Linked DNA regions of Mus musculus. The protein of the gene in region 3 interacts with the protein of the main gene of each other region in a pairwise test. Links are inferred from orthologs where the notes say so. Each region holds a gene or a part of one and is shown on either strand. Other genes may lie near its edges. The genes, in order: Trim42, Plscr3, Stk16, Saxo1, Efemp2, Kctd14 and Miip.

Region 1 (3,717 bases), on a different chromosome or scaffold from region 3:
AATCCACACATTGATTCCTGTAAGTCTTTCTCCTGCCGGGGGAGATGCAAGCACACTCATGCAGGGATTGGGATTGCAAGGCTCTGCTTTATTCTCTTAACTTACAGTTCATCTGTCTTATACAGTCAAAAAAACTGCCCATAGAGGCCAGCAAGATGGCTCAGAGAGTAAAGGTGCTTGCTGCTAAGCCCGACAACAACCTGGAGTTTGATTCCCAGGAGCCCCACAGTGGAAGAAGAGAACTGGTACTCTCAAAGTTGTCCTCTGACCTCCACATGTATGCTCTGGCATCTCTCTCTCTCTCTCTCTCTCTCTCTCTCTCTCCTCTCTCCTCTCTCTCTCTCTCCTCTCTCTCTTTCTCTCACACACACACATACACACACACACACACACACACACACACACACACGCACACACACACATGCACACAGAGATAAAATGAATAAATGTAATGGAACTATATAAAACACTGTTTCTAAAATAACTGACCCTTTCTACAGTCGAGCAGTTAGATTTTTCTGCTTTTGTACTCAGATAAATGCTGGAACAAATATTTTTGGGGCATAAATCCTTTTTTTTTTTTTTTTTTTTTTGAGGAGGACAGTTCTTAAGAAATTATTTCTAAAATTCAAATTGAATCAAAAGATTTCTAGAGTTTTGGAATACATACTAATAATCTTCTAAGACCAACTTGAACATTTTCCATACTGAAGCTCTGAAAATTTAGGAGTCTTGTCTACATAGACTTAAATTATTTTCATTGTAGAGCACAATGAATCCTGGAAAAGGCCCATTTTACGACCCTGGAACAGGGATTTTCTACATCATCATCATCGTCATCATTTTACATTAGATCACTGTCAGGCCGTAGGTGAAGTGGCAGTGACTTGCTTGGTTGTCTCAGAAGGTGTCCTTCTCTCAAACTTATCCAAGGATAACTCTTATGCAGCGCATGTGACTTCTCCAAGTCCAAGTACGGAGCAGACCCCACCAGCCCTTCTGCTTCAGAACAGGGGCTGTGGACTCTCTGAGAGGCAGGGGGTGTCAATGAGATGAGATACAGCGTGGCCAGAGTTCACTGATGTCACCCGTACCCCATTTCTGTGTGAAGGACAGGGAGGGGCACCATGCTGTATTTGATGGTCTCCAGGAGGGTGCTGTTCTACCTGGCACATTTCTTGTGGTACTAGTTTATCCTCTGAAGCATTACAATGTCTCACAGAGGGAGAAGGTAAAACCTGGTCTCTGTCCGATCTTCATTTGTGTTTAGACCCTACCTACTGAAGTGCAGTCTGCAGACAGCAGCATTGGCAATACCTGGCAGCTTGTGAGAGCTAGACTCTCAGGCCTGGAAATCCAACGACAAAGAATCTACCTTCTAACAAGTCTGCAGGAGATGGTAGTGCTTGGAACCACTAGTTCACATTTCAAGATGCCTACTGTCTTTGAGAAAGGGATAAAAGATGAGCCGTGCCATATGGAAGCAGACCACGAAGTAATTTGGGAGGTGTGTCCATGCAGGAACCTCAAAAGAGGCCAGAAACTCCAGTTGCCCAGCAACCCTTTTGCCTCTTGGAGTTTAAATAACATACTCCATAGGCAATTCAATTCAGGCTCAGCTGGATTTCAGAGAGACAGTAAGGCAAAGAGTATTTGTTCAGTGTTAGGTTAAGATGGCCAGTAGCCTGTGCTGTCACAGGTGATGCAGGCATGGAGACCTGTAAGACACTCCACTTTCCATATCACCCCTAAGACAGAAGATGGATCTCAGCAGAGAACTGGAATGGTTCTGGGATGGTCATCTGAATCTTTTCAAACCCCAGGGAGCCTGGATCTAAGAGAAATAACAGTTTAAAGGAACACACAGCTGGCAGACAGCAGAGACTGCTCACCTAATTCAGTCCTGGACTCTTCCCCATACTTCCATGACCTCCCAAGCCAGTTTGAAACTTTAATTCCAACTTGATTCTTCTTTTTGGCTTCTTTTCCCTTCCTTCCTTCCTTCCTTCCTTCCTTCCTTCCTTCCTTCCTTCCTTCCTTCCTTCCTTCCTTCCTTCCTTCCCTCCCTCCCTCCCTCCCTCCCTCCCTCCCTCCCTCCTTCCTTCCTTCCTTCCTTCCTTCCTTCCTTCCTTCCTTCCTTCCTTCCTTCTGGTGTTGTAAAGACCAGGAATCGACACTGTCTTCTACTGTCTTCTCTCTCCCATATTCTACTATCTATAAATCTGTCTGTCTGTCTGTCTACTTACCTACCTAACCCTGAGGCAGGGCCTGTCATCTAGCTGGAGTTCACTGTTTCCACTGGACTAGCCAATCATGAAGACCCTGGATCCCCCTGCCAATCATGAAGACCCTGGATCCCCCTGCCAATCATGAAGACCCTGGATCCCCCTGCCAATCATGAAGACCCTGGATCCCCCTGCCAATCATGAAGACCCTGGATCCCCTGCCAATCATGAAGACCCTGGATCCCCCTGCCAATCATGAAGACCCTGGATCCCCCTGCCAATCATGAAGACCCTGGATCCCCCTGCCAATCATGAAGACCCTGGATCCCCTGCCAATCATGAAGACCCTGGATCCCCTGCCAATCATGAAGACCCTGGATCCCCTGCCAATCATGAAGACCCTGGACCCCCTGCCTTTGCCACCCCAGCACTGGAAGCACAGATATACACCAGGCTTTGACATGTGTGATGGAGATGCAAATTCAGTTCTTCATGCTTGCACAACAAGCCTCTTGCCCACTGAGCCTTCTTCCTAGCCTGTGTTTCTTTCAATAGAAAGGCTGCCCATCAAGTAGGGTTGGGATTTACACGCACTTATCATTATGTTCTCAATACACTGACTGGATTAATTGACATTTCAGGACCCTACCCTACTGACTAGGTTGACTATAAAGAGTCTAGAGGAGTAGACTCAAGTGACCACATTCTAGAGGCCAAAGCAGTATAGGCAACCTTCTCTGACCTCTCTCTTTTATTCTTTGCCCTGTACTTCACCCTTCCCTTTGTCATACCTTGGCAGCTCTTGGGTACACCAGTGTCTGGTAGATGACAATTGGGCCTGGGGTCCTCACAGAGGTGTCGTTGAAGGAATACCAGTTGTGGAAGCTGTTACTGCTCTGCGGGGGCTGGGTTTCCCCTGTGGCACTCCAGTAGGTGTAAAGGCCGTCAGTCGTCTTGGCGGGCGCGGCAGACTGGGCTCTCCCGTAGTTCTCCAGACCCATCTTGCCCTTGTCATTGGCGGTGTTGAAGGATATCAAGGAAGAGCTCCGCTGGTATATCTGCTGGTTGCCGAAGCTATGGGTGCTGAATGTCACCTTCCTGGCGATCATCATTTCTGAGTGGATAGGATACTGGGAAGGGAGTGAGTCCCCAGAGGAGCAAGCCTTTTTGGGTCCCGTGGGAAAGAGCTCGTGGATGGCATTGGAGAGTTCAGCAAAATCCAAGGGGATACAGTGTAGGGAGTGAAGCCGCAGCTGAGGGTCGGGCCTGAAGGTATTCTGGATGCCCTCCTCAATCTGGTCTACCAGGATCTTGGCAGACTGCAGGAAGGCCACCTGTCCTGTTTCCTTCAGGGCTTCTTTGGAGTAAGCAATCAGGCCATCCATTTCGTTCACTTTCATGGTCGTAATGTACACATATTTCTCAATTTCTTTCTGCCTGGACACTTCCAGATTCTCTATCTGTTCCATGATGATCTTTTCTTTCTCTTGAA
Region 2 (4,269 bases), on a different chromosome or scaffold from region 3:
GCCTCATCTAGAGGCTACCTAATCCTAGCTGACGGGCCAACGGGTAGCCTCTGAGGACTGTGGTTCTCGCTGGCCTCTTGGAGCTCCGCAATAACAAGGCATGTGAAACTAAGTGGTATCTCAGTGACTTCCTGGTCCAGTGACTAGAACTGAAGTAATTTCCTTCTACCTCCTGTTCATCCTCTTCCTGCCTCTTCCTGCAGCTGCAGGGAACTTCCTGCAGCCTAGTCCCGGGCTCAGCAAAGTCTACTGCTGCCAACTCTGCAGTCCTGAGAGTGTGCCTCACGCATGGACCATTCAGGATTGTGTGAAAGGGACACTGACTCCCTGAGAACCCCATAGCGTACACATTCCCATCGCGGAGATCACACAATTATCTCCTCTCCAACCGGTTCTCGGCCACAAAAACTGCCTCTGACTACTAAGGTGACTCACTTTTTAAAAGGCAACCTTAGGTGAAGCACCTCTACTGGATGAAACCTGTTGTTTCTCCCTTATCAGAATGGGGACTCATCCCTTAAAGAACTCAAGAGTCCGAGCAGTGCTAGGAGCCAGAGAGTCTCCCAACCCTCACTCTGGAGTCTTTACCAGCTGGGTTCCTCTGGTCCTGGGTTGGTGAGAGGAAGTCTCTGGGAGAAGGACATCACCTGGACTTCTGGTTAGATGGGTCATTTGGACTTCTAGGTTTCCAGGCCAAGCCAAGGGTTAAATTATGAAAGGGTCTATGCTTACAGATAAGCACAGGGGCTACCTGGGTCGAGCCCATGGCAAATGTATGCAGTGGAAGACTGGGAGATAACAGTCCTCCACTTTAGATGCAGGCTGGCCTCAGATGCTCCCTAAGGCCCTGCAGGGCTGTAGGGAACATGCAGTCTTGGACTGAAGAAGACATTTTTGGTTTCAGACAGGTCTTGACCTTAAGTCATCCGTTAGCACGGAGGCTACTGCCTTTTCTTCTTGTTTTTCTAATTACATTGACTGATTGAATGATTGCTTGGTTGATTGATTGCGTGCACCATGGCATGTGTGTGGGGAGGACAGTTTGCAGGAACTGTCTTCTACAATATGGGACTCATGGCTAGGGCCCAGGTTGTCAAACTTGGTGGCAAGTACCTTCACCCTCTGAGCCAGCTCATCGCCCCCAATCTTGGTTTGTGAAGAGCCTAGAAATCACCGCCCCCTAATTCATAATACCTCAAAGTTGGTGTCTGTACCACAGCCACAAGTCCAGCAAGGCCCTACAACTCGTAGAACAGGTTGGCGATCAGCATCCAGGATGGAAAACTTAGGAAGGAAGGGATGCCAGGTCTGTAGCACATGGCCAATGGTGGTGCCAGGTGGAGCCTGGACTTCCATCTGGAAAGGGAAGCAGACAGGATTACTGTCAAGCCAGGACACCTTGGCCAGCGCTCTTCACTGGTGCCAGCTGTCTTCTGACTGTTCAGACCCTCAACTAAACCGCCCCCACTCCTATTAAAGCCACAACTCTTTCTGCGCTGCTTACCATACACTGCCCACCAACCACCCCAAAACCTGCCATGCCCACCTCCTGAAGACCACAGGGGCAGCAGCTGCAGCCACAATGAAGTGGGCGGAGGAGCCGGAGCACCTCGCGGTCCCCAGGGTCCGCTAGGCGGATTCGAAATGGTCGGCGGGCACCACAGCACAGGCGGGCACAACAGTTGCTCTCTTCAGCTGCCTGACCCAGTTGCTGTCCGGTTCCGGAGCGAAGTTCATACATATTACAGGTCTCCCAGCCTAGGAACGCTGGGAAGGGCAACACGCTGAGGCTCGGGGGCCACCTGCCCAGAAGCTAACCACTGCCATAAAGATCATGAAGCCCATCTTGCTCCATCCATCTCCTACTCACTTTCCACTCGTTCAGCCTTCTGATGAATCAAGATTTGATCAATCTGTAAAGAGTTAAGAGCAGCGTTGACCTTATCCGTCACCTCGAACTTCAGTTCTCCTCCCAGCCATCCTCTCTCTCACTCACCTGCACTAGGAATTCGAGGCCAGGAGGCACCCCTGGCAATGGCACGAAAGGAGCAGGAGGCCCTGGAGCCACTGGGCCTGGCGAGGGGAAGAGAGCGAAGCCGGGAGCAGGGGCAGGCACCTGGGTGGGCACTGGAGCTTGTCCCGGTCCAGGATGCAGAGCCACCGGCTCTGGATACCCAGATGGCACGGGGTAGGGAGGTGGGGGTGAAGGGGCATAGCCTTTGGGGGGCAAGTAGCCTGTAGGGGAGCAGGAGTAGATTAGAAAGTTATCTGTGGACTCTTCTTTCACAGCCCAAGGACCAGGAGCACCCGCGGAAAACGTAAGAAGAGGCAGAGAATGATGGGGCGGAGGGGCAGGGCGGTGGCTCCCCAGGAGGAAGGGAGGGCCCCACGCAGCCAGTCTGAGCACATTCCTGGAGAATGTGTTCGACACCCGGCACCCAATTTCGTGGGGGCAGGGGGGAATAATGGAGACCCCAACCTAGCGTCAACGTACCTGCCATGGGAATCAGGAGGGGAGTCTTGGGCTTTTGGCGTAGGGGAGACTTAGTTCTGGAGTGGGACAAGCTCGGGAACAGCTAGACAGACACAGAAACAAAGACGGACAGGCAGAGGCGAAGAGGTAGCTGCGCCCAGTACGGGCCCAGGGTCTCTAGGGCGGCACCTAAGACTCGGGGAGAAACCGAAAGTGTCAGCGGGCGGGGCGGGGTACCTAGGACCCTGAATTTTCTTAGGGGCCCCAGGACCGCCCCCTCCCTTTGTTCTCCCATTTTTTCTACGGAGATGGCTGTTGGCAGACGGCAGGGCAGATGGTCCTGAGGTCAGACAGATGACCTGACCCCGAGGAAAGTCTCCTTAACCCCTCTATGGTCCGGCTCACCTGAAGCCCCCAGAATAAGTCGGGGGGCCACGCACTCCGGGGCTCACAGGCGCTGGTGGAGGCGGGCCCAGATCTGACCCCACCCCCGGGTCGCCTAAGTCCCGCCCCCCAGTCCGGGCGGGGCGACTGCGCAGAAAGCAGGCGCTTCTCCTCCCCCGGGGCCGCGGACCTTGGACCTTGTGCGCTTTGTTCACCGTGGTTCCGCCCCTTCCGCTCCGACTGCAGAGGCTTGGAGACCTGGCCTGTTGGAGGGTGATTGCGGCCCTATCCCCAGCAGCAAGACCCTCGCCTTTTCCGCGGGTTGCTGCTCTGCCTCCCCACCGCGTGGCTGCTCCGGTCCCCGGGATCCTCCTCCCAAGGGCGGGGCGGGCCTCGCTGACGCAGCGGAACACCATTCACACTCATTCCTTGCCTCCCAGACTTGGCTCGGTGTTCTTCTCAGGGCGACCTCGCTGTGTTCTCCCCCTGTCACAGCGTTGACCCACTCAGTCACCTCTCAGTTCAGGCACGCCCATTACACGCGTGACAGACTTTCAAAAGGTAACAGTAATGAATGTGCATGAGGTAAGGCTCAGGGAAAGACACTTGAACAGAACAGGCCCTCCATTCCCCAGTATGGAGGCAAAACATGCAATCCCAGCGTTTGGGAAAGGAGAGGCAAGAGGAGAGTCACAAGTATGAGGCCAGTCTGTTTTACATAGTTCCAGACCAAGTCAGGGCTACAATAGGGAGACTCTCTCAAAAGACTCCTTTCCTCAAAAGAAGATAGCATAGTATCTGGGCAGGTGTGGAGGATCGCGAGTTCCAGGTCAGCTTGGGAGTGACCTGGGTCACTAGGGGAGATATTAAAGAAACAAAGCCGAAACTAGCCCATCACTTGTGCCTGGGTCTTAACTTCCTATCAATTGTATATTAGTGCTTGGGGTGCAGACTAGGGATTCTTAGAATTCTAGTTTTTATTGTACAGCCTAAACTGAGAACTACTGTGTCAGAACAACCCAGGAGGCTGTGGGCAGGCCAAGGTAAGGGAGAGGTTCTTACAGAAATCTGGTCCTACTGTGGTGGATTGCACCAGAGACCAGGGCAGTGAGGCAGTGTTGATGTGTATATGAGGGAACATGACTTCATTATGCCTCAGAGATAGGATGTAAGGAGAAAATTGCAAGTTGAGTCATGCTAGGCCTCTGAGACCCTTCTGCACAGCACAGACCCCTCCTCCCCCTTGCCTTGCTGTGCTATGTCATTTACTGCCTGCCCGTGCAATCCCTGGCTTCATATATCTTGGTCTCTCTGTTGACCTTTCACCTCTAAGATCCCGTTCCTTTGGGGGTACTTCTTACTAGTGCTGAAAACCCAGCAAATGAGCGGAAGGAAGCTTTAACTGTCCCCAA
Region 3 (4,508 bases):
TAAGCAAGAGTCTACAATGCTTGGCGTCCCTCTCTTCTTCCTGCTCACCTGGGGCTTTGTGGGATGCTGAGTTCATTCTGCACAGCAAGGGCCACACTGTCACCCTTCTGGAACACCATATCGTAAGGGCCTTCCCCAAACATCATGGCATAAAGCACACAGCCTAGGGACTGAGCATAATTTGGTTAGTTCCTGGAAGGTGAAAAATGTCATCTATCTCCTTATTGCTATGGTAAAAGAAGACCATGTAAGCTAAATATATGCCAACCTCACCCAGAGGAACCATGTTGGCAGGAGGGAGGCCTCTGTGGCCCCTGCTTAGCTAGTGCCACAACGATTGCACGGCTTCCTGAGAACAGTATCAGTGATGGTTCTCAGGAAGGAAGTAGACGGTTGTGGAGACATCCTGTGGTTCTGGGGTTCCATGCAACAGAAACCAAAGGTCTCCTTCCCTGTACTCCAAGAGTTACAAAGCCACACCCTTCCCCACCCAGGTTCCCACCCACAAGCTCCTCACCCAGACATCAGTCCGCTCATCGATGACACAGTGGCTTTGCACAGAAAAAAGTTCAGGTGCCCGGTAGGAGATGGTGCACCGCTGAGCTGCCCAGTCCTGGAACAGTGTCCCCAGAGCTCAAAAGTGGAGCACAAGCCATATCATGTGACCAAATTGGTGCATGCATCAGAATGATCTGGGGATGGGGAGGAGATGGCCAAAGAAACCAGGAGACTCTCTTACCTGAAGAGCTAGTGCCTGGCGAGAGCCCTCCACTTGAATGCATGCTTGATTCATAGAACCCAAGTCCATTAAAACTGGCTGCCCCTCATCACCAAGCAAAATATTGGTGGGCTTCAGGTCCCTGGAGGGAAGTGAAAATGACCCAAAGGCGCCCTGGGCAGGGAAGCTGGTATCCCAGGGAGCACCATGGAAAGTGCAGAGAAACCCCAATTCTCTTGGCACTGCGCTCCCTCCCCACTGGCTTCATCAAATGCATAGGGCCCGCCCACTGACCTGTGTGCATAACCTTTGGCATGAATAGCCTCAAGGCCTCTGCTGATACCCAGCAACAGCGGCAGGATCTGGTCTTCAGTCAGGAAGCTGCCTTGGTCCTTCAGCCTTTCTATCTCATTCCACAGTGTACCTTTCTACAATACAAGTTTCCCTGTGCTGAGACATTTTTCAAGCCTCTACTTCCCAGGACTCTATTTTGTATCTGTCTGCCCACCCTTTTACCATAGCCACTCTTCCTGATCCTTTGGGGGCTTTGTGTGATGTCAAGTTCACAGGGGACCCTATAGTCCTCTGAGCCCCAACTTAAGAATGGCCAAAACTAGCCAGGCAGTGGTGGCGCATGCCTTTAATCCCAGCACTTGGGAGGCAGAAGCAGGCGGATTTCTGAGTTCGAGGCCAGCCTGGTCTACAGAGTGAGTTCCAGGACAGCTAGGGCTATACAGAGAAACCCTGTCTCAAATAAACAAACAAACAAACAAAAGGCCAAACCAGGGCATGTGCTCCTAGAATGTTTATGTTTGCCTGCCCAGAGCCTCTGGTGGGGTTGCACAATGTTACAATCCCCTCTGTAAGTACAGGCTTCTCTGACCTTGAAGAAGGGCAGCAGCAGCCAGGCTTCATGCTTAGCACCTCGTTCTTTCAGAGAGTAAGCCATGAGGCGAAGGATGTTGGGATGCTGGAAGAGGCGATGCATCTCTGCCTCTCGTTGGGCTTCTTCCTGGTCTTGCTGCTCATGGCACAGGATCCGCTTCAGGGCGTAGAAGTGTCCATCATGCAAGCCCTCCACTAGGTCCACATAGCTGAATCCACTGTGGGCCAAAGGGGTCACAGTGAAGGACCATGGTCATCTCTCACATAGCTCGGACCCAGAGGAATTCCCTTAGGGAGGAGTGCCTCTTACACAGAGTGGAAACACTCCCAAGATGTAGCTCTCATATAGTTTCAAGACATTAGGATCTGCGTTTCCCGAGAGCAGGGGCACAGAAATCACTGAGGTTTTGGTCTGAGCATAATGTGTTCAATTAATTTCAAGTCCTCATGAGTCAGGCACTGGGTGACATGCTTTAAAGAATATACTATCTCACTGAGTTTCCACAAGTCCCTCAGCGAGACATTATAATCATCTCCTTTTAAGCAGAAGAAACCACAGTTGACTTAAGGTCACACAAGGTAGATCCAGGAGGCCAGAGTCTAGAATCCACTTCTTGACCCGTTCAGCTAACCGGTCAGGTGGGGTAGACTCTAAGGCTAACACTCTTGCAACTCTATCACTGTCTCTAAACGACCTGGGTCTAGCTAAGTGACGTCCAAACACTCACCCTTCCCCCAATTTCTGGACGAAGAGGTAACGCTTATTGTCAATGATGACAGTTCCCCGGGAGCAGACACACAGTGCGTGGCCCATAACGTCTCAGTCATCCTCTTCAGGGATGGTCTTCCTTCCAGGGAGAGTGGGCTCTTCCAGGCGATGCGGTGGGGTCCCGGCGGGTCATGCTGGAATGGAAACAGCAAGTCGCGGGTTCAAGAACAATCTAGACAGCCACGGAGGTACCAACCAGGAGAGCTCAGGCTCACCTCCAAGAACCCATATTCACGTCTAAAGAAAACTGGCCCTGGCGACTCCAGCGCTAAGAAGGCTGAGTTCTGGCACCCCAAAGCCTCAGGCCACGCTGCGTCTTACCAGGCCGCTTCTTTCAACCCCGGCCCACCTTCGGCCAGGTCCAGCTCTCGCACCCGTCAGGCATGGGGTGGCGGCGCAGGAGGTGCGGGGCTCGAGCCCACCTCTGGCCGAGTCCACCCTCCGTCGCTCGGGAACGAGCACAGGGTCTGCCACTACAAACTCCACACCGACCGGTCTCCGGCCTGTGCGAAGGGCCAGGGACCGGAAGCCCGGATGACATCATCAGTCCGCGTCGAAGTAACGGCCCGCTGTATCCTAGCAACAAGAGGCGGCAAGAGGATGTGGGGACCCGGAAGTGAGAGGCTGGGGCCCGGCTAGACCTGGGGTGTATTGGTTTCTCTATCTCGCCGAGGGTTCCCACTTGGCCCTCAGTAAGGGTCAAGACGCAGGGACTAGTACCAAAGGGGAGCAAAGCAGGGCTCTGCCCGAGGCCCCTAGGACCTCTGTCTCCCAATGTCAGAGGTAGGAGGTCTTATAGCTCCCGCGCGCTGGAGTTAGAAAGTGGCTTTCTACAATCTAGCTTGGAGGAGGGACCAGAGAAGGGCGGGTGCTGACCCTTAGATGCCAAGAGGTCTGACCCCTTAACACTCTCAGGGGTCTAGCCTGTACTCCACTGCCTTGGCTAGTGTCTGTGTCCTTAAACTAGAGTGCCCGTTTCTAAACCTGGTCCTAACAGTCTCCTAGCTGTGTGGCCTCCTGCAAGTTATTTAGTCTTTCAGATCCTCACTTTTCCCAGCTGTAAGACAGTACCTACGGCTAAGTGTCGTGAGTTATGAGGCCAAACTGACTAGTTCCAATCCCAGCTCTACTGAGCTAGTTGTGACTTTGGACAGCTACTTGTTATTTCTAACCTTCATTTTCCTCGTGTGTAAGATGAGAATGAGAGTTATTTCATGGGTTGTTTCAAAATTAAATGAGTTGTCTTTCGTACAACTTTGGAAACAGCCGTATATCAATGTGTGTCAATAAACAGAAATAATAGTATTTTCTACGGCTGTGAAGGCAGGAGAAGTGGAAAATTAGACTTCTAAGCCTATGAACTATGCAGTTTGTTTCACATCTCTTGCCTAGACAGGCAGAATATATTGGAAAGGGGTGTACCTCCAAAAAAGATAGTGACCAGGACAGGCTTCTTGTAACCCCTTTCCACAGCATGATCACTCTGAAGATTTTCTAGGTTTTTCCACTGTTTCTGAATCCGTTTTAACCTTACTGCTCCCGTGCATATAGATTTAACCTGATATGTGCCGGATCCTTTGCTAGTCATGAAGATTTAAGACACCCTGTCAGCCCTCCGAGAGTTCAGTTTAGAAGAGCAGGTTTGTTAAAGCACAGACTCTAATTCTAGAGGTCTGGGGTAGGACCCGAGATTCTGCGTTTCTAACAAGCTCCCAGGTGATGCTAATGGAACTGATTCGGGTTCAGCACTTCGAGAAGTAATATTTTACAAACTAGTGGACCGTGGATGGCTACAGGCAAAGTCCGGGTTAACGGCCTGAAAAGTTGAGGTGGTCTCCGCCCCTTTGCTTGATGTCGGATTCCCTCCCAGGAATCCAACACGTGACGGGTGGGAAAGCCCTCACCGAATAGAAGAACTTTGTAAGCTCAGAAGATGCCACCCGACCTGCCTTCCCTGCTGCTGCGGCTTGTGGTCCTACTGCTGCTGTCCCAGGTAAACCCAAAGGGTCGGACTGTCTGCCTGGGTGTGGGGAGAGGAAAACGGATCCCGCAGTGGAGAAATGGTTAACTACCGACAAGGCCAGTTTTAAAACTTGGCCGACACTGATCCTTACTCCGGACCTCTGCTGAGCCAGG
Region 4 (4,144 bases), on a different chromosome or scaffold from region 3:
ACCAAGGGCTGCTCTTCCCACTGATGTCCAAAAATAGAGGCCTTCCCCCACTGATGAGTATCATGTACTACAGGTGAGATCATATTTAAGGAGCTAGCCATGGTGACACATGCCTACAATCCTGGCAGCAGCAGGGCTGAAGCAGGAGAATCATGAGTTGAAGGCTAACCTGGACTACATAACAAAACTCAAAAGCCAAAGAAACGCTGGGAATAGTAATATGGGCCTCTAATCCCAGGACTTGGGAAATGGAAACAGAAGAAACAGAAGTTCCCAGTTATACACAGTGTGTCCCAGGCCAGGCTGATCCGGGGTCTTTTGGAAGAGCAGACAATGCTCTTAGCTACTAAAATAGTTCTCCAGCCCTCAAGTGGCTGGAGGAAGTTGGGGAAGCCCTCAATTGTAATTCACTGAAGTAAAATGGCATCATGTGGCAAGCACTGGAGACAGCACCACTCCAGATTGTATGTCCCTAACGGACTCCACAGATCCCACCACCATCCTACAAAGGTGTGTTCTGACTACTCAACAGGTCAGTATCACAAAGCATACAAAAACAGAGCTTGGCTGTTCCAGAGCACACCATCACTAGATATGAAGCTGGCATACACATAGCTAAAAGACCATAGGAAGTGGGGTCCTACCTCTGTACTAGGTGGGGTCTATAGGACTGAGCCAGACGGGAGTCTTATAACATGAGCAAGATCTTAAAAGGTTAGGAGGCAGAAGAAGGTAGACGCATTTTCAAAAAGGGGAAAAAAGCAAGACAAAGGAACCATGAGTGGAGACCAAAAAGTTTGCTTTGAACTCTGAGATGCCCCATCAAAATCACAGGAAAAAAAAAAAAACTAAAATAGACTAAGCAGGCAGGAGGGAAGACTGACCAACATGAGAGTCAGACCCAAGGCACGTGACAGAACCGTAAAGTAGACACAGGAGGGGGAGGCAAGGAAGGCATGCCAGAAAGACTTTATATCCAGTGGAAGGAGCAACTTTGCAGGGTGGGGGAAAAAGAGAATCTGAGGACATCAGATAGGAATGGAGGTGTCATCTGACTCTACGTTCCTCACCCCTGATGAGTCCCCGTCTTCCTAGACTACATACTGTGCAAAGATGGGACTCAAAGACTTCAACCCCACTCTTCTGAGAGCAGAGATGGAGCCAGGAGTGATGCAAAAGGCCCCACAAGGAAGCAAAGTCTTAGAAAAAAAAAACAAACTGAATGTTCGGTAGTATGAAAAATTAGCCCTGGACACTGGCTGGTCCCACCTGACAAACCTCGAAAACAAGAGCCACACTTGTAGGTAGCAGAGCTCAGAATTCTGGGAAATGGCAGTATCTATCTGGAGTCTGCTGATGGGACTGTCCTTAGAGATTGCTCATGAACAGCTGGAGCAATGACACCTATTTTAAAGTTCCCAGTCCACTCTAATGAGCACTGATTCCTGAGAATTCAAAGTCTTCTGTTTTCAGAGTGTCCTCTTAACCTATTCTCCCAAATACAATAATTTTGTTATTTCATGTAACATATGTAGCTGTAAAATCCTTTGCAGATCTTAGGGTATTAACAGAATAGATAGAATCCATGTGCATAGACATACACCCTATCCCTTCACTTGTAATAGTCCTGTGAGGAGAGTATTCCTAGGGAAATTTGAATGGGGAGACGTTCGGTTCCTAGCCCAGATCCCACATTTAGTGACAACCCCAGAGGGCTAGTCCCCGAGGCCACTCCTTTCACTTGGTCTTAGCCAGAAGCCTGGGAAGCAAGTTTATGTACTGCCCCTTCTGCTATCCCCTGGCTGGCACAGCCCTGCAGTTCCCTAGCTGTCCTGGCAAAGCAGCCAGAAGGACCATCTCAGAGACCGCAGCCCAACGTTCCTCTCCAAAACCCTGCCTTCACTGTGCTTTGCACCATCATGGCCCTGAAGACAAGGGGCAGAAAGGCATCCTGCCCAAAAACTACAGCGAACTCGCCCCTGGATTAGCTATTTATTTCAACACTGCAACAGTTGGTGCCCGTGCACTATGGCTCCCAAAGTACCAATTTCTGTAAGTGAGAAACTCACCCACACAAAAGAACTATTGTTCTAACAATTGCAACAGAAGAAACAAGACCGGCCCCAGCCTGTCCAGGGTTTCCATCATGTCTTAACAGCATGTAGACAAGGCTGGGCCCAGCCCACTCTCAAAGTGCCTGAATCTCTACCCTGCAGAAAACACACACGCGCACACACACACACACACACACACACACACACACACACTACCTGATCAGCGCTGATTCGACATGTGTGCATCAAATATTAGTCAACAATGTTGCAGTTTAAAACCCGAATCCAGTGCGATGCTGCCTAGCGAAGCAGCGGGATGAAGAAGACACATCCTGTCTTCGTTCCAGGAAAGGGGCTTGGCACCCTAGGGAGTGTGAAAATCAGGCTCCCCTCCCCAGATTGCCCTTGGGAGGACTACCTTACCCGCAGGAGCACAGGTTGCAGATGCAAGTCCTCTTCCCCATCCTTCACCTCGGACTTTCCACTAAGGCAATCGCCTAGAGGATCCCAGCTGCCTGGGACAACGATCACACTTCTTCGGTGCCTTGACCGATGCTGTTTTGCTCAGAAGGAAACTTAGGTGGCCCTTTTGCAAAATTCTGTAGTCTATTCCTTTCCTGAGGCTGGCCTTGGGCAAACAGGCAGCACTTAGCACAGACAGCAAGCCAGGCCGGCTCACGTCTGTAAGCTGCTGCCACTGCGGCCAGTGGGAAGCACCCACCTGCCAGCACAGCCTGGCCCCTGCAAGCCACAGGGCCCAGGACTGAGTCCTCTATGACCTTCAAAGTCACAGAGGAGGGCATCTTGAGGTGGCAATGACATCATAAGGGCCTCCTGTGAGGTCAGACTTCACCTAGTATCTCACCTGGCAGACCCAAGACAGGGACTCTCCCACTGGAACTTGGAAGGAAGATGGAAGATACCTTGGAGGGCTTTAGGAAGCCTCCGAGTCCCAGAGTTAACCAACAGCACGGTCACATAATGCAAAGACAATGAAAAGTATCTTGTCGGGTGGCACTTTCCATCCCTAGGACACATTGTCCGTCTGGAGGAAATGCATGCCCGGACCTCCAGAATATTGACCCTGAATTCCATCTCCAGATCTTCCTGGAAAATCTATACCTGGCTGCCTGCATCTTGGAATTGCTTTCAACCACAGGCCTCTGCTTTTGAGAACAAAGCAGCATGAGAGGGTCCAGCCCTCTATTGCTCAGGTAATGACGCCTAGAAGCAGGGACGTCTCAAATGTTAGCAGCATCAGAACCTCAAGGCTTGACAAAAATCAGATTGCCAGACCCCACCCTGAGTTTGTTGTTTCTGAAATATGGGTTCCAGAAAACACGTGTCTCTTACAAGTTTTTAATGATGCTACTGATGCTGGCCCAGAGCCCACACTTCAAGGAGCGCAGCTATGGAGCTTCTATTGTGGCCTCTGACCTCTCTTCCCTAATATCTAAGCCGGTCCTGAAAACCACTGCAGACCTCTGCCCTGGAATCTCCTGTATCAAATAACCACCAGTCAGAGCACATGATGGCTTCAGCCTGTGATCCCGGCACAGACTGAGGCAGGAGGGTTGCTGCAAGGTCAAGGCCAGCCTGGGCTACAAAGTGAGACTTCACTCTATTTCAAAGCAGTGAAAACAACTATTCTGGGAATTGTGTTTTCACAAGATAGCAGCTTACTCTGACAATAAAACAAAGTCAAGGGCCTCTGCTCTCGAGCTGGGTGTGGCAGCACAAGTCTAGAATTCCAGCATCTGGGGCAAGGAGGCAAGTTCTGGGCTACATGGCTCTCCCTTTCTCAAAAGCAAGCAAAAGAAGTGCGGTAGCATACCATACAGTCTACTACTATAGGAGAATGTTTGGACTTAAACATTACTGTTTCTTTTTGTTGCTTTTATTTATTTTATTTTATTTTATTTTATTTTACATTTGCTTATCGCAGGTTCTGGGTAAAGAGAGCCATGTGGGCCAAGACTCATGTGGAGATCAGAAGACAACCTGGAGAAGTTGGTTTCCTCTTTCTACCATGTGGACCAGAGAGCTGGAATTGATGTTATCAGTGTGAGCTTCGAGTGTCTGAAGAGTCA
Region 5 (2,549 bases), on a different chromosome or scaffold from region 3:
GCCAAGGGAGGTGGAGTTGGACTCTAGGACTCACAGTAAGCTCCCAGCCGCTCAACTCCTGCCCACCCAAGCACCTGTACCTTGGCAGAGCCTTGTAGCCAGCAGCTGGTAGCCTTGTGGGCAGTGACAGGAGAATCGGCCTGGCTCGTTGACACAGCGGTACTGGCAGAGGTAACTGGAGTAGCCGCACTCATCGATATCTGAGGGAGGGCGGGGATGAGGACCCTGGGCCAAGGGGAGGCCTCACAACTGAGTCCCACAGACCTTGACCAAGAGAGAGGGAGCCCAGCACCCCCATAAGGATGGATGTGGGAAGAGAGAAGGAAAGAAGGAGACCCACAGTGCTCAAGGGGGGCTCAGGTTTCAGAGGAAGGTTGGGGGCTGGGGATAACTCAGTGGTAGAGTACTTGCCTAACACGCTTGAAGCTCTAGGTTCCATCCCAGCAAGGAAAGGGAGAGGAAAAAGAAAAGAAAAAGAATAGAAAGGTTTGAAGCTTGGCATGGTGCTATATGTCTATAATCCCAGCATTTGGGAGGTAGAGGCAGGTGGATTATACCAAGTTAAAGGCCAGCCTGGTCCACATAGGAAGCCAAGCCAGGATTATATCAAGATCAAGGCCAGCCAGGGCTACATAACAAGACCATGCCTTGAAAAACAAACAGTGGGGTGTTTGATCCCAACATCTGGGAGGCAGAGGCAGAAGCAGGCAGATCGGTTTGAGGCAGCCTGGTCTACTACATAAGAGACTGCAGGCCAGCCAGGGCTACACAGTGAGACCCTGTCTTACAACAAGGAATCTTCCAGCATGCGGAGCACCTCTCTTCCCCAGGACTTTAAGACTTAACAAAGCATTCGCCTAACATAGTGGCCTGTGCCTTTGATTCTAGCACTACCCAACAGATCTCTGTAGACTAGCCTGGTCTACACAGAGAGCTTTATAACAGCCGGGGTTACATAGACTCTGTCTTAAAAAGCAGCAAGAATCTAGAGGCTTGGGCCTAAGTCCTACTAACCCATTTTAGAAAGGGTCCACATTGTGCCAGTCAAATGAGCAGGTGCCCCAAGGGGATAGCCGCTCTGTTCTTTTCAAGTCTTGCAATATGCGGTCAGAATGCCCAGACTTGGGCTAAGTGTGTGCCCCCCACCCTACCCCGAGCAGCATCCTATCTCTTTGCTTTTGTTCCTTTCACACAGCCGAACACCAATGATCCTGTGCTTCCCGGTAAAGCATAAAGTAAATGAGGGCATGCCAGGTAACACAGTGAGACGCCTGGGCTCACACCCCAGCCCGGCTCATCTTTCCCCTCTGAACTTGGACAGTCATGTCAATCTCAGTAAGTGGAAAGATGAAAGTCAGTACTTTCTCTGACCTCTCTGCTTGCTTTCCACAGTTCTGCCAACCTGGAGGAATATTAATGTCCTGTTTTACAAAAGTCAATCATCCCTGGCCAGACTAAATGAGACTGAAAATTTTAAGTGATAAACAAATGGTGCTTCCCACTATTTCTGCCTGAGACTTGATGAAGCCTGTTATCACTGCCCCTAATACTCAAATAACCTGTCTGCAGTAGACATGTGCCCAGAAAGAAGAGAAAACTTTCCCCAGTGTAGGATTCCAATGCAAGTCAACTCAACTTTCAGGAAGACTGGCACCTCCATCTTCTCTGTCTCTCTGGCAAGCTTCAGAAGCCCCTAGCATAGCATCCCCTCAAGCTGGGAGTGCCAAACGACAAGCTCAAGACGGAGCTTAGGGAGGCCTGTGAGTGCAAGGAGACGTGCGGAAGCCCCAAGCAAATGACCATGCGCCTGGAGTTGCTCCAATATGTTGCAAGTGCTAAGGGAGGCGGCAGAGGGGGGGGAGGCGGGGGGGGGGGGGATGCTGTATCCAGTAGCACAAGTGACTCTCACCGCTGCAGGAGAAGCCATCCCGGTGCAGCTCATAGCCCTGGTTACAGCGACACAGGAAGGTCCCATAGGAGTTGAAGCAGCGCTGCTCACATGGGGCTCCCATGTCACACTCATTCACATCTGAGGGTGCGAGGACAAACAGGAGGGTGAGAGCAGTGTCACGCCCAGACCCCCCCAAACACACACACACACTCAACTTGGGCTCAAGAAGAAGATCCTGCCCCCACGTCACACATCTCCACCCAGGATCCCAGAACCTTGTCTGGCACAGCCTCACCCACACAAGAGCGGTTGTTAGGTCCCAACTGGAAGCCTGGCTCACACTGGCATCGAAAAGAGCCCGGCAGGTTCACACATCGATGCTGGCAATAGCGGTAACGACACTCATCTATGTCTGAGATGGAGGTGGGGGAGGGAAAGTAGAACACAGGCCAGGTGGGGCCTGAGTTGGCTCACCTCGGCAACCACCCCTGCCCGCCCTCGTCAGCGAGCTGGGCTGAGTCACCCACATTTAATCTTCCGTGTCTAGTGACAGGAGTGCACTAGTAGCAGAGGACTGGGGTGAGGTAAGGCATCAGACCAGGAGCCAGACCAAGGTCACAGAACAAGAACCTAGCAGAGCCACTCAGAACTCACCCAC
Region 6 (4,261 bases), on a different chromosome or scaffold from region 3:
CAGGTCCTCCCAAGGCTAGCAAGTTGCCTCTGCTACTGAGCCAAATCTTGGGCATGACTGGAGTATTTAGATATTTTGAGTGTGTGTTCAATGAACTAAAACCGAGTTTGTGTCTTCCTGTATGGACATGTATAGTCTTCATCACACTTCCTTCTTGGGGTCTAGCACAGCTTTGAGAAAATCTCCAGTGTTGGCCTCATCACCTTCCCTTAGTCTTTCTTCCTTCTCCCAAAGTCCAGGGAGTCCGTGAGAGAAGGCCAGTAAGCAGAGAGGGAGTGCTGGAGCTGGCCAGTGTGGGAGTCAGAGAAAATCATCTGTCCAGGCAGGCTGGATATGCTACCTCTACCAGGTGGCAGAGCCACTGGACTGACCGAAGGAGCCACCTCCCCCACCCTCCACCTCCGGGACTACACCAAGCTAGAGGTTTTCAGAGGAACACACGCAGGAACTAAAGCAGACTAAGTGCAGACAGAGAGCAGGGGAGAAAAGGGCAAATGAGAGACTGCACAGAGCTAGGTGGAGCCAGAGGCGGGAATGCACAAGTAGCAAAGAAGTTTACTAACAGGCACAAAAGAGAAAACTCCGGAGAAGAGCGTGGAGGGGCGGGGCGGGGGAGGGTGTCGATTGGGGGTGTGTGCGGGACTAATAGAGGATAGGGGGCAGATAATGGAATGGAGCTAGGAAAGCGCCGGCAGGGGTTGGAGGTGGGGTGTTCAGGACAACCAGAGCAGCGGCCACGCAGGGGTGCACTTACGATGGCCGGGTCAGGGCACAGGATCCGGGACTCCTGGCTGGACTCCTTGAGTAGGTTTACAGGCAGAGCCTCCTGACTGGGTTCCTTGAGCGATTTTGCGGGCTGAGACTGCTTGCCGGGCTCCTTGATCTGGTTTGCGGGCAGGCTCATCCTGGCAGGAAAAGACGGCTCTCAGCTCTCGTTGGGTACACAACGCTGTCTTGAGTGGATAACTTATGGGCAGGGAACAGTCCTGCCACGTGTAGATAACTTACCAGCCGGAGAGGTTCCTGACACCCCGCCCCTGAGGAACTCTAAGTCTGTACCTCCCACTTGGCCTCTTTGGTAAAACTCTTCTAGTTAGTGCTCATTTAGCTGGATTAAAGACTTAAGGACATGTTCTGAGACATCCAGCACGGACCCCATTGGTTCTTTGGGCAGCCATCAACTTCAAGTAACCTGTAATTTCTCAGAAACGGGGAACTAGGAGACGAATCCTGGGGCTCTCTGAGGGTAGGATGTCAGACCAGAGACTATAAAATAGTAAATTGGAAGAAAACCATCTGCCACTCAAAGATAGATGTTGTGAAACTTGTCTGTTTTATTCCTTAGTTCTGTGCTAGAAAAGACTTCTTTAAAAATACTTACGCTACAGGGGAGAACCCCGATGGATCTATGGCTCAGTGTGGTCAGCAGCAGGGACGACCACCAGAAATTTAACAAAAATGAAACTGACTAGGTAGTCAAATTAATACTTGGCAAAGAAAAATAAAAACTGAAGCAGAGCTATAGCTCAGTGGTAGCACACTCCCTTAGGATGTATGACATCTGGGTTTGACCCCCAGCAAAACACACACATACAGGCACCCCACTAGGAAAGAGGAAAGGAAGGAAAGAAGGGGACAACAAAACCTTCCCTGAATGGAAGTATAATTAAACCAAGTTTCAAAGAATGTACACAGATAGCAAGCAGTTCATCAAACAAACCCACAGCTCAAAACCACAAAGCACAAAAGGAAACAAGGCAGAGGGGGAAAAGTCAACAGAAACCTGTGGGGGCCCCTTAGTGCTGAGACTGTTGGGATACAGTGGGAGCTTACTTAATGTCATTAAACAAATAAAAGCAAGCATCTAAAACCTGAGCACACTGGGCTGCAGGCACGGCTAAGTGGTGGAGCGCTTGCCTAGCGTGCACCAGGCCCGGAGTCCCATCCACACAGCTACAAAACAAAAACCAAAGAGTGACTTAGACATGAGTAAAGAACAAGGACGTACGAATTTTTAAAAAGACCACGGAGATTTTTAAAAGTCAAATAGACCCACAAAAATGAAAAGCTCAAGTAGCCGAAATAAATCATAAGTGCAGTTGAGAAGGAACTCAGGAAACGCCCTTGAAGGAGCAACGGTGTATATGTATACTATTCTTAGGCAAGAAAATTGGAAAATAGAAGAACAAAATGCCTGAACTTGTGGGGATGAAGGAAAACAGGTGCTCAAACCTTGCTGATTGGAATATGAACTGCTGTGACCTTTAGACATTAATTGGCCATCTCTACCAAAGGGGTGGGGGAAAGAACCCTACTTTTGGGACTCCATCCGACAGAGATAACAAAAAGCACCGTTCTGAAGGGTATGTGGGTGAATGTATTTGCCACTGATCTGTTTGTGTTAGCAAAATTAGATAGTTAACAGTTGACTAAATCACAGTCTGTCTGTGCCATGCAATGTTATGTGTTAAAAAGAGAGATGGGGGCTGGAGATATGGCTCAGCAGTTAAGAGTGCTTGCTGCTCTTTCAGAGGAGGAGAGTCTGGTTCCCAGCGCTCACATCAGGATCTTCACAACTACCTGCTAACTCCAGCTCCAGGGAAGCTGATGCCCTCTTTTAGCCCCATCCACCCACCCACAGGCACATGCACACCCCACATGCACACATACCTGTAATTCCAGCACTTGGGAGGTAGAGGCAGGAAGAGAAGATAGTCAGAGTTCAACATCATCCTTATTCTTGGCTACATAGCAAATTTTAGGCCAGCTTGGGATACACTGTTGGGTTCAGGGTAAAAGTTGAGAAAACTCATTTCAGATATGGAAGCTTAAAAATGAAAGCTTTGTTTTCTGAGCACTCAAGGAGGTGGCCAGTTCTGGATCTGAAACATGTCTGAGAAGAGGGATTGTACACCATCTTTAAAGGATGGGAACACAAAGCAAATGGGGGCTGGGGGGGGGTGCAGTGTTATCTAGTTGTGTGTGACATTGTGGGTTAAACAAGGGAGTAGCCATCAGAGACTGGGCTGCATCCAAGCACCTGGCTTCAAGGTCCTTGATTCACTCTCCTAAACATTAGGTCCGGAGCCCAGACTGATAAGGGAAAAGGAGCTGCTTGGCTGCACGTAGTCAATTAGGGCAGAACAGGCAATTGTTTATGCAGTTATAGAATGTATGCACTTTCTGTATTCTTTACCAGGTAATAGACAATTGAGAAAACAGAAGTGGGATAGGTGTTCATTCCTAGGCCTGGGAGCATGAACTTGTTTGACCTGCCAGCAAGATGGACAGGTTGTCCCTGAGATGTGTGGACTCAGACAACTGTGTATAACAGAAGATGTTCAGCCATTGGGAAGTCCCCAGCTGCCCTAAGGCCTGGGACCTTGAATTTATTTTTCTCCCTTTGATTAAAAGAGTCTGAAAGTGAAATGGTAGTACTTAAAATAAATTTCTTTTGCTTGTTCCCAACAACACGAGAAGAAAGAGACAAGAAAAAAGTAAGCCTGGAGAGGTGTCTCAGTAGAGCCATTAAAAATACTCACTATGGCTGAGTGTGGTGGTGCATGCCTTTAATCCCAACACCAAGGAGGTAGAGGCAGGGGATCCCTATGAGACAGAAGCCAGCCTATTCTGCATAACGAGTTCCAGGCCAGCCAGATCCTATCTCAAAAGAAAAACAGAAACAAAACAAAACCAAACAAGCAAACAATAAACAAACAAGACAATACAAGACAGCAAAAGCCAAAATCAACAACTCAGTATAGTGGTACAATTTGTAATCCCAGAGCTGGGGAAATAGATACAGAAGGATCCCTGGGGCCTGCCTGCCTGCCAGTCTAGTCTAATTGATGAACTCCAGACCAAGAAGAGACCCTGTGTAAAGACAGACAGGATGACACCTGAGTTGTCTTCTAGCCTCTACACACATACATACACATGCACATGTACATACACATATACATGCTGCTCCATAAACACGCACAGTTAAAAATAATAAAAAGAAAAATAGAATAGTATTACAGCAGTCATGTAGTGGGGATCTGCTGGTGAAAACCATAACGAGTATAGCAAACCATCCTCGTGCAAGTTTGTATCTGCATTTATCGGCATTCTCTGTGTAGCCCTGGCTGTCTGGGAATTCACTCTGTAGACCAGGCTGGCCTTGAACTCAGAAATCCGCCTGCCTCTGCCTCCCAAGTGCTAGGATTAAAGGCGTGCGACACCACTGCCCTGCTGGGATTTTCTTTATTGATGAGTGATG
Region 7 (4,344 bases), on a different chromosome or scaffold from region 3:
AAGAGTCCATCCTGGAGTTGAACTTGACATACCAGGCCACATCAAACGTGTCATCTCGACGACTGTCCAGTGGGTCCAACATGTGTCTTTTGTCCTGTGAGCTGGGGGCCACTGAGGAAGCGGAAGAAGTCTCTTGGGACAGTGGCATCTCTAAGTTGTTGCTGCTACAATCCAAGTTTGACTGTAAGAAACAGGTCAGGTTACCCAGGCAGCAGCCCAGCCAATGCCCAGGCACTCTGGCTTGCTGTGGACCTTGTAATTTACCCTGCTGTGGCTTTGGGGTATCCCAACCCAGTCCCTTCCTCCCAAGGCCTCAGTTTTGCACCGTCAATGAAATGGGTGCATCACAGCATAAACTGTCTTTCCTCGACACCTGGGCATTACCAAGTTTAGCCACCTACCCCTGATGCTGCTCTCACCACCGACCGACACATGGCTTCGTGCCCAGCCCAAAGCTGCTTCAGGAGCTCCAGGCTAAGCAGCCGAAGCCGAACGGGGTCTTTAGTCTCTGCCATATTGGGCATGCGGGCTTCTCACAGTAATGTCACTGTCTCTGGGCTGCAGAGGTGCTGACCCTAGGTTCCACCTGAAGTCAAAACAGCAATGACAAGAAAAATGAGGGAGGAACCCTGCCACACAGGCCTAGATTAAGATCATCACCCTGCAGCCTCACCCTGTTTACTTATTATCCTCTCTGCTTCCTTGCCTGCCAAGAGACGACAACTCCCACTGGGCCTTCCCTATGTAATCTAATTCCTGGGGCCTGTGAGACGTCTCAATAGATAAAGGTGCTTGCTGCCAAGCTTGACGATCTGAGTTCAATTCCCAGGGCCTACAGAGTAGAGAGAACTGACTCTCATGAATTGTCTTCTTACCTCCATACATTCATGGGTCAGGGCATGTGCTTGCCCTATACCCACACATATAAGAACTTATTTTTAATATTAATCTGACTCCTTTATCATATAGAAAAGACTAGTGCAGCATGCTAATTTAAAGCTTAATGACTTGTGCTATTGTGCAGGGCAGGGGAGTTCGACCCTGAGTGGTGACAGTTAGGGGGCTTTTAACAGCTAGCTGAGGAATTGGGAGGAGTTGGGAGGAGAGTTGATAGGAGTTAGGAAGAGTTGGGAGGAGAGTTGGGAGGAGTTAGGAAGAGTTGGGAGGAGTTGGGAGGAGAGTTGGGAGGAGTTAGGAAGAGTTAGGAGGAGTTAGGAAGAGTTGGGAGGAGTTGGGAGGAGAGTTGGGAGGAGTTAGGAAGAGTTGGGAGGAGTTCTCTTCCGGGTGTCCTTGGTGAAATTTACAAGGCAGGAGTGGGGAGTGAGTTCTTTCTGAATTTTTATCTCCGTGTCATTGGCACAGGAAGGTAGGCATCTCTGGTTGTAAAGTATAGAAACAAAAAGGCTTTTTGCTGGCTATAGAGAACAAAGAGCTTTTTTCTGGCTGCATTTTTAGAGATCAGGGAAAACAAGCTTGGGGAACGTCTAGGGGCTTTACCTTCCAGGGAGAAACGCTCTAAGTCGGGGTCTCATACTATCTGGAGCTGGCACTGAACCCAGAACTGGAAGCATTAAGCCTTTTTCTCTGCCACAAGTCTTCTCCTGGTCAATTCATTTCTTTGCTTTTCTTTCTTTCTTTCTTCCTTTCTTTAATTTGCATGTATATCCCAAGGTCACACAGCTACTAAATGTCAAAAGCAGGGTTTGAACCAAAATGTAGGTTCCTGCTTGTTGTGCAGTGGCTACTTCCCCTGACTTTCAAACTTCTCCCTGATGGTGGGAGGAGAGAATCTCTTCAGAAGGCTGCAAATTCCTAGAGCTCCCTCCACAAGGTTGATTTAAACTATGTCCAGGGGAGAGCATTCTCAGATGGAGCTGCCTGAAAGCTGCGCGGGGGTGGATCAGAACCCGTGCTCGGTGGGACTGTCAGTGATGTAGCTGCCTTTGGGTCATGACCCCAATACGTACACTCCTTGGTTCACCCAGCCACACTTGGGTGGAATCGTTTCTCTGTTCTGTTGGCTGTGCTCTGGGGCAAATAAACCTTTGTTGACACATGACTCCCTATGAAGGGTCTGCACGGAGGAAAGCATGGCCCTGACTGGGACACAAACCCCACCCCCACCCCTTCTCCGGCCAGCTTTGGTCCTCAAAAATTATACTCAGGGGCTCTCTCTCTCTCTCTCTCTCTCTCTCTCTCTCTTTCTCAAAGATTTATTTATTTGTTCGGACACACCAGAAGAAGGCGTAGGATTCCATTACTGATGGTTGTGAGCCACCATGTGGTTGCTGGGAATTGAACTCAGTGGTTAAGAGCACTGAGCCGTCTCTCCAGACACTTTCTTTTGCTTCTGGAAGAGATGTCTGCAATATAAAGAAGCACTTCCCACTTCTCTTACAACCCCAGCCCAGACTCCTCCAGCCGAATCAGACCCCCCTATCCTTCCCAGCCCTGCCACCCTACAGGCCCCTGGAGACTTGGGTTTCGGAGCAGGCTGCAGGGGGCGAGCAGAGAAGACCCCAGCATCTCACTCACGCGCACTCAGGCAGGGTGCACACCGGGGCCTAGGCGCTTGCCCCTTCTCTACCGGTCTAGCGGGACGAAGGCACGCCTCTGTGGTCCCGAGATCAGCGGCTGCCATGGATAAAAGGACGCCAACGCTCTCCGCCCGAAAGCCCAGATTCCCAGCAGCCGGGGAATCCGCCTCCAGCAGGGGCGGAACCTCCAGTGGTTGTCCTAATTGGCTAAGGCTGGGGCGGGGCCTCCGCCGCTGTCCTGCTCGGCCAATTGACAGTGCCAGGACGCCTTATATTTGTTTCTTCGCATCCGGAAGCGGCAGTTTCAATATGGAAAGGAGGGGCTAATGGGACCTCATTGCTGATTGGTTAACTGTTAATGCTAATTCTACCAATTCAAATTGAGGACAGGCTCTGGTTGGTCAGTAGTACTCGGTTACGCAATTTCCGGATGTAAAGTCTCTAATGGCAGTGGATAGGTGGGGCTAGAGACTCCGGCAACTTTGACCTTTTCACGCGGACCCCACACTAGCAACTCCCCAGAGTGCTTTTGCCAGGGACGAACTGGAATTTGGATCCGAGGCTTGTAGGACGCAGTAGCCGAGTTCTAGGGAAACAAAAGTCTGAAGATGAATTTCCCACGTGCGCTTGCTGGTTTCTCGAGCTGGCTCTTCAAACCTGAACTTGCCGAGGACTCTCCGGATAATGACTCTCCGGATAATGACACTGTTAACCCATGGCGTGAGCTGCTGCAGAAGATAAATGTGGCCGATCTCCCCGATTCATCCTTTTCGAGCGGTAAGGAACTTAATGACTCTGTGTACCATACTTTTGAACATTTCTGCAAGATTAGGGACTATGACGCAGTTGGCGAGCTGCTTCTGGCATTTCTGGATAAAGTAACAAAGGAAAGGGACCAATTCAGAGATGAAATTTCCCAGCTCCGAATGCACATAAATGATCTAAAGGCTTCTAAGTGTGTCCTGGGGGAGACTCTTCTTTCCTACCGCCACAGGATTGAAGTTGGGGAAAAACAGACTGAAGCCCTCATTGTGAGGTTAGCTGATGTGCAATCCCAGGTCATGTGTCAGCCTGCCCGGAAAGTGTCTGCAGATAAGGTGAGGGCACTGATTGGTAAAGAATGGGATCCGGTAACCTGGGATGGAGATGTGTGGGAGGACATAGATTCTGAAGGGTCTGAGGAAGCTGAGTTGCCCACTGTCTTGGCCTCTCCATCCTTGTCTGAGGAAAGTGGTTATGCCTTGTCTAAAGAACGCACCCAGCAGGACAAAGCAGATGCCCCTCAGATCCAGTCTTCAACATCCTTAGTTACTTCTGAACCTGTCACCAGACCCAAGTCTCTGTCTGACCTTACAAGTCAGAAACACCGCCATACTAATCATGAACTCAATTCACTTGCTCACTCAAATCGCCAAAAGGCAAAGGAACATGCTAGGAAATGGATTTTAAGGGTGTGGGATAATGGTGGGAGGCTCACAATACTGGATCAGATTGAATTTCTCAGTTTAGGTCCTTTGAGCCTTGATAGTGAGTTTAATGTCATAGCCCGCACTGTTGAAGATAATGGTGTGAAGAGTTTGTTTGATTGGTTGGCTGAAGCATGGGTCCAGAGATGGCCTACTACAAGAGAGCTGCAGTCGCCTGACACCCTGGAGTGGTATTCTATTGAGGATGGGATTGAAAGGCTTAGGGAACTTGGAATGATAGAGTGGCTTTGTGTAAAAGCTACTTGTCCACAGTGGAGGGGCCCGGAAGATGTACCCATCACGAGAGCTATGAGGATAACTTTTGTCCGGGAAACTAGAGA

Evidence for each region.
Region 1: the proteins of Stk16 (region 3) and Trim42 interact in binary tests that used the Homo sapiens proteins (3 or more experiments, as listed by UniProt). The two-hybrid records come from large-scale screens. The link is inferred for Mus musculus from reciprocal best matches to the Homo sapiens genes STK16 and TRIM42.
Region 2: the proteins of Stk16 (region 3) and Plscr3 interact in binary tests that used the Homo sapiens proteins (3 or more experiments, as listed by UniProt). The two-hybrid records come from large-scale screens. The link is inferred for Mus musculus from reciprocal best matches to the Homo sapiens genes STK16 and PLSCR3.
Region 4: the proteins of Stk16 (region 3) and Saxo1 interact in binary tests that used the Homo sapiens proteins (3 or more experiments, as listed by UniProt). The two-hybrid records come from large-scale screens. The link is inferred for Mus musculus from reciprocal best matches to the Homo sapiens genes STK16 and SAXO1.
Region 5: the proteins of Stk16 (region 3) and Efemp2 interact in binary tests that used the Homo sapiens proteins (3 or more experiments, as listed by UniProt). The two-hybrid records come from large-scale screens. The link is inferred for Mus musculus from reciprocal best matches to the Homo sapiens genes STK16 and EFEMP2.
Region 6: the proteins of Stk16 (region 3) and Kctd14 interact in binary tests that used the Homo sapiens proteins (3 or more experiments, as listed by UniProt). The link is inferred for Mus musculus from reciprocal best matches to the Homo sapiens genes STK16 and KCTD14.
Region 7: the proteins of Stk16 (region 3) and Miip interact in binary tests that used the Homo sapiens proteins (3 or more experiments, as listed by UniProt). The two-hybrid records come from large-scale screens. The link is inferred for Mus musculus from reciprocal best matches to the Homo sapiens genes STK16 and MIIP.

The regions. Positions count from the first base shown.
Region 1 is NC_000075.6:97,359,870-97,363,586, forward strand, and holds part of Trim42 (tripartite motif-containing protein 42), read right to left. Parts: coding exon 3,017-3,717; intron 1-3,016.
Region 2 is NC_000077.6:69,845,301-69,849,569, reverse strand, and holds the start of Plscr3 (phospholipid scramblase 3), read right to left. Parts: upstream 2,954-4,269; 5' UTR 2,879-2,953; exon of another isoform or gene 2,663-2,878; 5' UTR 2,502-2,662; coding exon 2,495-2,501; intron 2,236-2,494; coding exon 1,997-2,235; intron 1,914-1,996; coding exon 1,871-1,913; intron 1,768-1,870; coding exon 1,547-1,767; intron 1,357-1,546; coding exon 1,195-1,356; intron 1-1,194. UniProt on the Homo sapiens protein: Catalyzes calcium-induced ATP-independent rapid bidirectional and non-specific movement of the phospholipids (lipid scrambling or lipid flip-flop) between the inner and outer membrane of the mitochondria.
Region 3 is NC_000067.6:75,209,238-75,213,745, reverse strand, and holds the start of Stk16 (serine/threonine-protein kinase 16), read right to left. Parts: upstream 2,918-4,508; 5' UTR 2,694-2,917; exon of another isoform or gene 2,588-2,693; intron 2,507-2,587; 5' UTR 2,418-2,506; coding exon 2,332-2,417; intron 1,822-2,331; coding exon 1,602-1,821; intron 1,147-1,601; coding exon 1,013-1,146; intron 861-1,012; coding exon 740-860; intron 634-739; exon of another isoform or gene 614-633; coding exon 518-613; intron 171-517; coding exon 49-170; intron 1-48. Other genes in the region: Glb1l (beta-galactosidase-1-like protein precursor), read left to right, coding at 4,306-4,365. UniProt on the Homo sapiens protein: Membrane-associated protein kinase that phosphorylates on serine and threonine residues. In vitro substrates include DRG1, ENO1 and EIF4EBP1. Also autophosphorylates. May be involved in secretory vesicle trafficking or intracellular signaling.
Region 4 is NC_000070.6:86,555,498-86,559,641, forward strand, and holds the start of Saxo1 (stabilizer of axonemal microtubules 1), read right to left. Parts: upstream 2,807-4,144; 5' UTR 2,519-2,806; coding exon 2,478-2,518; intron 1-2,477. UniProt on the Homo sapiens protein: May play a role in the regulation of cilium length. Stabilizes microtubules at low temperature.
Region 5 is NC_000085.6:5,477,681-5,480,229, reverse strand, and holds part of Efemp2 (EGF-containing fibulin-like extracellular matrix protein 2 isoform 1 precursor), read right to left. Parts: coding exon 2,546-2,549; intron 2,304-2,545; coding exon 2,187-2,303; intron 2,030-2,186; coding exon 1,910-2,029; intron 429-1,909; exon of another isoform or gene 412-428; intron 201-411; coding exon 81-200; intron 1-80. UniProt on the Homo sapiens protein: Plays a crucial role in elastic fiber formation in tissue, and in the formation of ultrastructural connections between elastic laminae and smooth muscle cells in the aorta, therefore participates in terminal differentiation and maturation of smooth muscle cell (SMC) and in the mechanical properties and wall integrity maintenance of the aorta.
Region 6 is NC_000073.6:97,449,956-97,454,216, reverse strand, and holds the start of Kctd14 (BTB/POZ domain-containing protein KCTD14), read right to left. Parts: upstream 2,884-4,261; 5' UTR 2,733-2,883; coding exon 2,671-2,732; intron 1,098-2,670; exon of another isoform or gene 906-1,097; coding exon 755-905; intron 1-754.
Region 7 is NC_000070.6:147,865,834-147,870,177, forward strand, and holds the start of Miip (migration and invasion-inhibitory protein), read right to left. Parts: upstream 2,887-4,344; 5' UTR 2,536-2,886; intron 587-2,535; 5' UTR 525-586; coding exon 402-524; intron 182-401; coding exon 1-181. Other genes in the region: Fv1 (Friend virus susceptibility protein 1), read left to right, coding at 3,146-4,344.